Linked DNA regions of Drosophila melanogaster. The protein of the gene in region 2 interacts with the protein of the main gene of each other region in a pairwise test. Each region holds a gene or a part of one and is shown on either strand. Other genes may lie near its edges.

What was found.
Region 1: the proteins of CG4610 (region 2) and Tmx3 interact in a two-hybrid assay, tested with the Drosophila melanogaster proteins (one large-scale study listed by BioGRID).

What each region holds. Positions count from the first base shown.
Region 1 is NT_037436.4:16,227,290-16,231,814, reverse strand, and holds Tmx3 (Thioredoxin-related transmembrane protein 3), read right to left. Parts: upstream 2,716-4,525; 5' UTR 2,515-2,715; coding exon 2,475-2,514; intron 2,411-2,474; coding exon 2,172-2,410; intron 2,115-2,171; coding exon 1,491-2,114; intron 1,434-1,490; coding exon 1,044-1,433; 3' UTR 676-1,043; downstream 1-675. Other genes in the region: PDCD-5 (programmed cell death 5), read left to right, coding at 227-341, 399-622; l(3)72Dn (lethal (3) 72Dn), read left to right, coding at 3,188-3,324, 3,395-4,525.
Region 2 is NT_033778.4:22,490,134-22,494,904, forward strand, and holds CG4610 (uncharacterized protein), read left to right. Parts: upstream 1-2,063; 5' UTR 2,064-2,106; coding exon 2,107-4,092; 3' UTR 4,093-4,162; downstream 4,163-4,771. Other genes in the region: CG4554 (uncharacterized protein), read left to right, coding at 1-608, 665-1,297, 1,359-1,793.

The DNA of each region.
Region 1 (4,525 bases), on a different chromosome or scaffold from region 2:
AAACCGGCTAGATTCCTCTAGAGAATTCCAAAAATAGTCATAACTTGGAATGAAAGCAAATTAGACTATATAAAATATAATAAAAATGTTAAGAATACATTAGCAATGGTATGCTTTGTTAGTTCTTATAGACACCTTCCCTATGAGTCATCCTTCTCGACTGGGACACCTGTTTCTTTAAAGGGCAATCCTTCAATGACCTTAACTCCTTTTTTCCTATTTTTAGGGCGGCGGCAATGATGCGGAAAAGCAACAAGCCCAGCAGGAGCAGATGCGCGCCCAGGAGGAAATGAAGCACTCGATATTATCCCAAGTTCTGGACCAGCAGGCCAGGGCACGACGTATGTGGATCTAGACCTTGAATATCTCTAGCTAATAACTTATAAAATATCATTTAGTTAATACCCTCAAAGTCAGCAAGCCGGAGAAGGCGCAAATGTTCGAGAACATGGTCATCCGCATGGCCCAGATGGGTCAGGTGCGTGGAAAACTTGATGACGCCCAGTTCGTCAGCATCCTCGAAAGCGTCAATGCTCAGATGCCGCAGAGCAAGTCCTCCGTGAAATACGATCGGCGGCGGGCGGCCATCGATAGCGACGACGACGAGGATTACGGCTGCTGATTCGTCCGAAATTCCGCCCAACATCTAATTTAAGTTATGCCCGCTCCTCACATCCGCTAAATCATGTTTATTACTTTTACTAACTTAAAACGAGAAACAAAACTAGATGCCCAAATACGTATGGACTTCTTTGTGTCAGATGGCGAATCTTAAAGCGTATTGGAAGTTCGTGCCAAGCGGCAATGACATACACTGACATAGGACTAGATTTGGCTTACATTTATATGCGGTAGAAAAGTGGTCTAGAGGAGGGGTGGGGTCTTCTACGACTTCTTATAGGGATTTATCATTTCATATTCTTGTATGTTCCTAGCTTTTTATGATCTTGCTCGGAAATGCACTATGAGATCATCTTATTTACTTTCTCTAACATTCACTCGCAATCAAAAGCTTTCACTAGATTCATTTTTAAGTTATCCCTTTACTCCTTCTTCTCGTGATCTTCATCGGGATCTTCTTCTGTGACCAAGCAATCGCCGCAGAAAATAGAGTACATGATGAGCGATAAGAATCCCAATGGCAGGCCGAAGATGACAGTGGTCAGCACGGGATTTCCCAGCCACATATCCCTTAATGCTCTTCGCACTTCGAACAGTGCCCGATTCAAACGTACAAAGTACGTATCTCCTCCATAGGCAATGGCACTTTCGTTGCGGATGGATTCTAGGAAAAGGTGCAGTGCCTGTGGAGTCATTTGCATTGGATCATCTTCGGGTATGAAGTGGTGTTGGGTGCTCGAATTAATCGCTATCAAGTGAGGCGTGGGCAGTTGATCCAAGATAATGGAATGTGCTATTGATGGCTCGCCAATCTGAAATGGAAATATTGATTAGCTCCAAATCGATAAAACTATGATAGAATCACTTACCCATCCAAATTGGAATTTGTCATGATATCGCGCCCTATGCTTTCTTATCACGCCCTCCACCATGTCCCGAAACTCCAGCTCATGCGTGGCTATCTGATTGAGCTTATCCTCCTGTACCACAGCCAAAACCAAGTACTTGTTTGTCTTGAGCAGCTGGTGGATGTTGAACCGAGTGACCTTTGGGAAGAGTGTGAACCTCTCCACGTTCACCCATTGGAAAACGGTTTCGTTCACTTCATTGGGGTCCATTTCGTGCGCCAAATGCCCATGCGGATAGAAGTGGTGCTGCTCTTCTTTGTAGACAATCACCGCTGGCAGTTTCTCAAAGTCAAAGTGTTGGGCAGCGATATCCTCGCTGGTGGCATAGAAAAATCCATGCTCTTGGTAACCTTCAGCTGCAGCATAGTATGTATCCCACACCACGCCCTCCTGTTGGCCTACGAAAATGAAAAATATCGTATGGGATCCCTTTAGCATGTCCACACTCTCCGTTCGCGTGACCAGCTGAACTGGAGGCCCAGACATCCTTAAGGCATAATCCACCAGCTCATCGCGACCGCGGTCTCCGTTGTAGGTGAACTCCATGTTGCCCTTGATGAACATAATGGTGGGATAGCCACGAACCTGTAAGAATTTGGGGATGCTTATAAGGAACTTGGACCAAATATGGTATATTCTCACCTTGAACTCCTTCGCCGCCGCCGGATACTTGGTACAATCTAGGCGACCCACTCGAACGTTGGTGGCATGCAAAGCCTGAGCCACCAGAGCAAAAATGGGCTCCGTTTTCTTGCAGTAGCCGCACCACGGGGCATAGAACATGACCAACCATTGGCCCTCGTGTCGCACATCGATGAACCGGTCACTGAGCTCCAAAACCTTCGAGGATAGCCCCGTCGAACCCAGAGTCAGAAGCAGAGCTGTTGGTTTTGTAAATCATTTAGCATCAGCTTGGATTTTTTCTATTGTTCGTAATTTATTTACCACTTATGAGGCCGAAAATCCACATAGAATTTGGCGACATCCTTGCAGCAGGTTTAATTTGTACTTCCAAGTGTAATTTACGTGCCCCTTATTTGCTATATCATGCTTTCCGTTATTTTAATAGCTTCTTTACTTAATTTAATTAGTTGATTGGTTTAATTTTCAGTTCCAAATTATTTTCCTTCGGACCACAGCAACAACAAAAGAAAACATTTGCAAAAACCACCCCCTTTAGACTGACCAGATGTGGAAAATATCCAAAATACTTAAGGAGATACTCTTTAGTCCAATGCGTAAATTGAACAAGTTTATTTATTAATTTTGTAGTTGTTTGGATTATGTTTTTAAAAGATTATTGAACTCAAGATTTTCATTCTACTATAACCTTAAAACTAAAATGAATTCGAAATAAAAACTAATTAAATTTTTTTATATGCATCTCTAAGAATTTATCTTTAATAATGACATAGTTAATAATTACATTTATAAAAGAATTTTTAATTTTGAAAATAAGTTTTTGAGCGGCCATAGAGCGGCTGCCTAAGGGTTAATCTGGTATATTTTTAGTCAGATGGCAACTCTTCAGCTTTGTTTACCTCACAAAATAGACTATCTGGCAACTCTTAGGCACACACGTGCATCTCCAGAGGAATTTTGTTTCAGTTGTTGTTCCTTATTTCTTCTTAACTAAATAATTGTATTAACTAAATAAAATGACGAATAATGCGAAGAAGGAACCCCAGCAAAGGGGCAAGCATCAGGTGCATAATGTGCGCTTCTACACTATAAAGCCGCGTGAAATTGTCAGCTTGGCGTATAGTAAATCGAGCAAGTGCCTCGCTCTGAGTCGGTAAATTATTGAAAATTAAAAAAAACCTAATAATTACTGTGCAGTAAACTAATAAGTACACTCTTTGCAGTGCAACACCCGTCATTGAGCTATGGAACCTGGAGCACGCCCCGTATTTGGATCGTGTAATCCACCTGCCCACCGATTCTCATGTGGAATCTATAGCCTGGGCGGGAAACCGCTTATTTTCCGTGGATTTAAGTGGTAAACTGATCGAGTGGGATGTGATTAAGCTAAAACAACGATATGAGCACTCGCCCACTGGCAATGCTCTCTGGAGTATCGATGTGAATCCCGCGGAAACGGATATTGCCATTGGCTCAGAGGAAGGGCACATCAACATCCTGAGTATTGAGAATGACGAAATCACCTATAAATCCCTATTTAACAAGCAAAAAGGTCGCGTTCTCTGCATCAAGTTTGATAAGACTGGAACTAAACTGGTGACCGGCACTGAGGGATTTGTTCGCATTTGGAACGTCCTCAAGGGAACCACTCTGCACACGATGACCCTATCCGAAAAGAACGTAATAGTTTGGTCCCTGCAGGTGCTATCCGATAATACGATTATTGCCGGTGATTCAGCGGGATTTGTTACCGTTTGGGATGCGGATAACGCGACACAGATAGATTCCACACGAGTTCTGGATAAAAACGTATTTGCCCTGGCTGTGAATAATAAGGAGGATCGATTAGTTTGCAGTGGAATGCAGCCGCCGCTCATCCGGATTTTCAGCAAAACCAAGATAAAGCGGGAAGAGTCCACCAGCGAGCGTTGGATTAAATTCCTACAGCGCGATGCCCACAAACACTATGTGAAATCCCTGTTGGTTATCGACGATCAAATTTATTCGGGAGGCAGGGATGGCATATTGACCATTACGTCCAGTGAACGAATGCAGGCACATTTGTCGCAGCATGCTCCCTTTCTGAAAGGTTCCGTAGCTTCCATGGCAATCAGTAAAAAGCTTTTGCTTTTGCGATATCCCAACAGCGTGCACCTGTGGCGCTTGGGTTCTGTGGCCCCGCAAGGCGAGGACAAGAAGAAACCCTGGGCACTGCCCGTCGGCCACACGGAGGAACAACTTCTGGAGCTGCCACCCCAGAAACTTCTCCAACTAAATGTCAAAGAGCACAACTTTATACAGTCTGCTGCCATTTCATCAGATGCAAACTGGATTTGCTACTCTACCTTAAAGGA
Region 2 (4,771 bases):
ACCTATCTATTATCTCATCATCGGATTATGTGCGCGATGAATGTCGTGGCATTCTACTCACCTACATTATGGAGTATACACTGCGCCAGAAGGTTGAGCAGATTGTGAAGTTCATGTCGGTTCAGTTGTGCTACAGCCAAACCGCTGGCCGTCAGTCGGCTATTCAGTTTATGCACTCCATCATCAACAAGTTCCCACAGCTTATGCTAGTCAAACAGTCGGAGTTTTTATACCTTTCCCTGGGCACTCGACTGGTCAACGATGAGGATCCGTCATGCCGACGCAGTGTGGCCGCTGCTCTGGAAGCTCTGATCGGACGTCTCACCAAACTGGAACGGCAGCCCTTGCTGGATCTAACGCTACTGTTCTTCACCGCACCACAGTCCAGCCAGAAGCCAGGAGTCCGAGAAATGGCCGCTGCTCTTCTGTCACGATTTGTGGAGGCAGAGAAAGCTGGATTTGCGGAAAGGCTACCACTGGTTCTACCCACTCTGGTGAACGTTCTGACTTTGGGGCATGCGGAGGCTGGAGGTAGATTCGTGCGGGCTCCAGGATATCTCGCAGCAGAGGTGGATGAAAGTGAGCTTCACAAAAAGAATAAGCGAAAGGTAATAACATTTTCTAAATGTACATCACTCTTAAACTTATAAATTTAATTTTATAGAAATTCAAAACCTTGCCGGATGAAGATTTACTGCTAGCTGGTCTAGACAATGAATCGATTTTGGAGCAGCAGCAACGCAAAGCTGACCATCAGCTCATCCAACTGCAGTATTGCCTGCTGAAGATCTTCGAGCACTGCGGAGAGTCCTTACTCAACAATCCACAACTTTCTGATACTGTCGATGATTTGGCCTATGGCTCTCAGAGACTTCTGAATCACGACCACAACTGGGTGCGCTGCAATGCTGCCAAACTCCTGACACACATCGTCGCCCACTACGATTTCGCCTATATCGGTCAGCAGTTGTCAGGAATTAAACTAGAAGCAGGAGCCAAGAAGGCGCTGTACTTTATTTACGCACAGCCTGCAGAGGACATCAAATCATTGGTGCTAGATTTGTGTGCTCAGGTCACGCCGGGCGAAACTGCTCAGGAGATGATTGACGAGCTGTCGAAGATTTTGTTATTCGTTGGACATATGCTGAGAGACGTTCCGTTTAGTCTGAAACAGGAGAAAAACGATGATGAAGAGGAGCGAGAGCCGGTGAACAAAATAAGTCTCACCTGGCTGATTCGCAATATACGCTTCCTCATTAACAAGGAAGTCGCAAAGGCACCTCACGACATCAGCATAGTACGTATGACGACTTTTAAACTCAAGACAATTTCCTAATTTTAACATATTTCAATTTTAGAGAACGGCTATGTTTACGCTCATAGAGGCGCTGTCCACGCTACTCAGTGTGGAGTCCGTGACCCGACTGGCACCCTCTCTTCTCCAGGCGCTGGTTCGTGAAATGTCTGAGGAGGATCAGAACGTGGATGCGGAACTGCGCCAGCAAGCTCTCCGTGTAGGCAGTCGCCTGAGGAAGCGCATCGGAGCCGAAGTATACGACAAACTAAGAAATGCGGTGCAAACCAAGCTGATGGCCCGCCGTGCAGAGCGTCGCAAGGTTGTGGCTCAAGAAAAGATTCACGATCCTGAACGGGCGGCCAAGCGAAAGGCTGGCATGCAGGAGCGGAAGAAGGCGGCGAAGCGTCTAAAGGCGGCTGTTGTGCGTGGCAAAGCGCCGGACATAAAACAAAAGCTGAAAAAACGCAAACGAAAAGCTGAGATGGATGGATTTTAAATAGTTAGTCGGTCTGCTTTAGTATAAGTTTTTTTCTAAGTAGAATGGAAATAAAACAAACATTGTTACATAAGCAAAATGAAATAAATATATGACGATTTTGCAATATCTAAATAGATTATATTATGAAAAGCAATAATAAAATGAAAGACAGCTTATTACTTTTAATGCGGACCAAAATATTGTTTTTTAAAATTTGCCGCCAACTTTCAATTCATTGCACAGCCACCCTATCGATATATCGACTATCGATTACAACGCTAGAACATGTGTTGTGCAACTCCAGTTGTTGTTATTGTGGGGTGTTTTGAAAATGCAGCAGCTACGAAATGCCGTGGTGCACGGTTGGGCTAGAAGGATAAGGGCCCCATCGAGAAGTGCCCACAGTGCCGGTGCCGATATCTACGACGTGGTGGTCATCGGAGGCGGACATGCCGGAACAGAGGCCTCGGCGGCAGCTGCTCGCATGGGATCACGCACCCTGCTGCTAACCCACAAACTGGAGACTATTGGCGAGATGTCCTGCAACCCGTCGTTCGGTGGCATTGGCAAGGGTCACCTGATGCGCGAGGTGGATGCCCTGGATGGCGTATGTGCCCGCTGCTGCGATGTTTCCGGAGTACACTACAAGGTGCTCAATAGACGGCGCGGTCCAGCTGTTTGGGGGCCCAGGGCGCAGATCGATCGCCAGCTGTACAAAAAGGCTGTGCAGCAGGAACTGCACAGCACCCCCAATCTGGAGATTCGAGCAGCCGCTGTGGACAACCTGCTGATAGAGGATGAACAGGATACCCAAGCCCGCCGTTGTACCGGCGTCCTTTTGGCCAACGGAGAAGTGGTACGTAGTCGATCCGTGGTACTCACCACGGGAACATTCCTGCGGGCACACATAAACATCGGACTCGAGGTGCGACCGGCCGGCCGAATTGGAGACGCTCCAGCCAAAGCGCTGGGCGAGGCGATCGACAGATTAGGTTTTCGCATGGGGAGGCTGAAAACTGGAACTCCGCCTAGAATAGCAAAGGACAGTGTGGATTTCTCACAGCTCCAAAGGCACGAAGGTGATGATCCGCCTATGCCTTTCTCCTTTCTCAACAAAGACGTTTGGCTACCCGCCAAGGACCAACTACCCTGCTACCTTACCTACACCACACCAAAAGTCAGCGACATTGTGCGCGACAATCTTCATGTAAATCGCCATGTCACCGAGGAGATTACCGGCCCACGCTACTGCCCCTCGATTGAGTCCAAGATCCTGAGGTTCGGCGCGAAGGTACATCAGGTGTGGTTAGAGCCAGAAGGTCTGGACAGTTCCTTAGTGTATCCCCAAGGAATCTCCTGCACGCTGCCCCACGATCAGCAAGTAGAGCTGGTCCATGCCATCCAAGGTCTGGAAAAGGCGGTAGTTGTCCAGCCCGGTTATGGCGTGGAGTACGACTTCATAGACCCCCGTGAGTTGTATCCCACACTGGAGACGAAACGAGTGCCAGGACTCTTCTTTGCTGGCCAGATAAATGGAACTACGGGCTATGAAGAAGCAGCCGCTCAGGGCATCATAGCTGGTGCCAATGCAGCTGGAAAAACCAGGCATAGCGATGGAAGGCAACTAACCATAAGTCGAACTGAGGGCTACATAGGCGTGTTGATCGATGACCTGACTTCGTTAGGCACAAATGAACCCTACCGCATGTTTACAAGTCGGGCAGAGTTTCGGTTGTCACTTCGTCCGGACAATGCCGACATGCGTCTCACACAAAAGGGCTACGAATTTGGACTTGTATCTTCAGATCGCTACCAGCACTTCCAGCAAACCGAGGCGAGATTGCAATCGGCCATTGAGTCCTTGCGGCGATTGCGGAAGCACACTCATTACTGGCGACAAGCACTCAATCTGCCCAAGGCCAAAGCTTCGGTGGAGAAATCGGCTTTCGACATGCTGGGAATTCCAGCAGATAACATCACTATCGAGCAGCTAATCCATCTTCATCCCAACGAACTGAGCTGGCTTAAAGGCGAGCGAAATCTGGCCGAAAGGCTGAAAATAGAGGCACTGTATTCGTTCTTTGTCGATGAACAGCAACGAGATGTGGAGGATGTACGGCGTGAGGAGCGCCTGTCCATTCCCGCCGACATTGATTACTTCTCAAAGTCCCTAAGCTTGTCCAACGAGGAGCGACAGAAGCTGACGCTCATCCAGCCACAGACAATTGCGGCGGCTAGTAGAATTCAAGGAGTGACTCCATCGACAATTGTAAGGATTCTTAAATACGTTAAAAAAGCGGAGCTAGCAAAAGCCTAGGTTACGATTATGTAAAAATATATGTAATATTTGATCGCAGAGTCCCAAACCAAAAAAGAACTTGCAAAGTACATCCTTAAGTAGAGTTTATTTCATAAAATCATAAATGCCTTATGTAAAGTTGCACAATATTGTTTAAATGTTTGTTTCGCATATCGTTTGCCACATGGTTGAACATTCGTACATATCTATTCTGCTGCGCGATTGTGTTGATATATACCCAACTATATGGTGTGGTCGTGTGAAGATCCGAGAAAGGAGCGCCCGACTGTCGAGTTATTGATCTTAATCCGATGGGGTATATGTAGCTCAGGACTAACTCAGGATTCTGAATTCGGCTGTAAGATCAGTTTCCGGACAGACTGGAGCGTTCCTCTTTATGTCTATTGCTATTGTTTCGGTAGCTGTTGTATTTGGTTTTTGGTTTCGATTTTGTTTCCATTAGCTTACAGTTTAATGTTTTACACTTTGTATTCTGTTACACACACAACGAAGATTGAGGGGGAGTTACAATACAATTAATTTACGATCGAGTTGTTTTCTTTTGTTAAGGTTGTATTTGAAACTATTTTGCAGTAGTTAATTAGCTATCGCATGGCATTTGTGGTTACGTTACTAGATGCGCGCCAATCGATTTCAGTTATGTGTTTCATTCAAGAATCTATTATGATTAGTTATT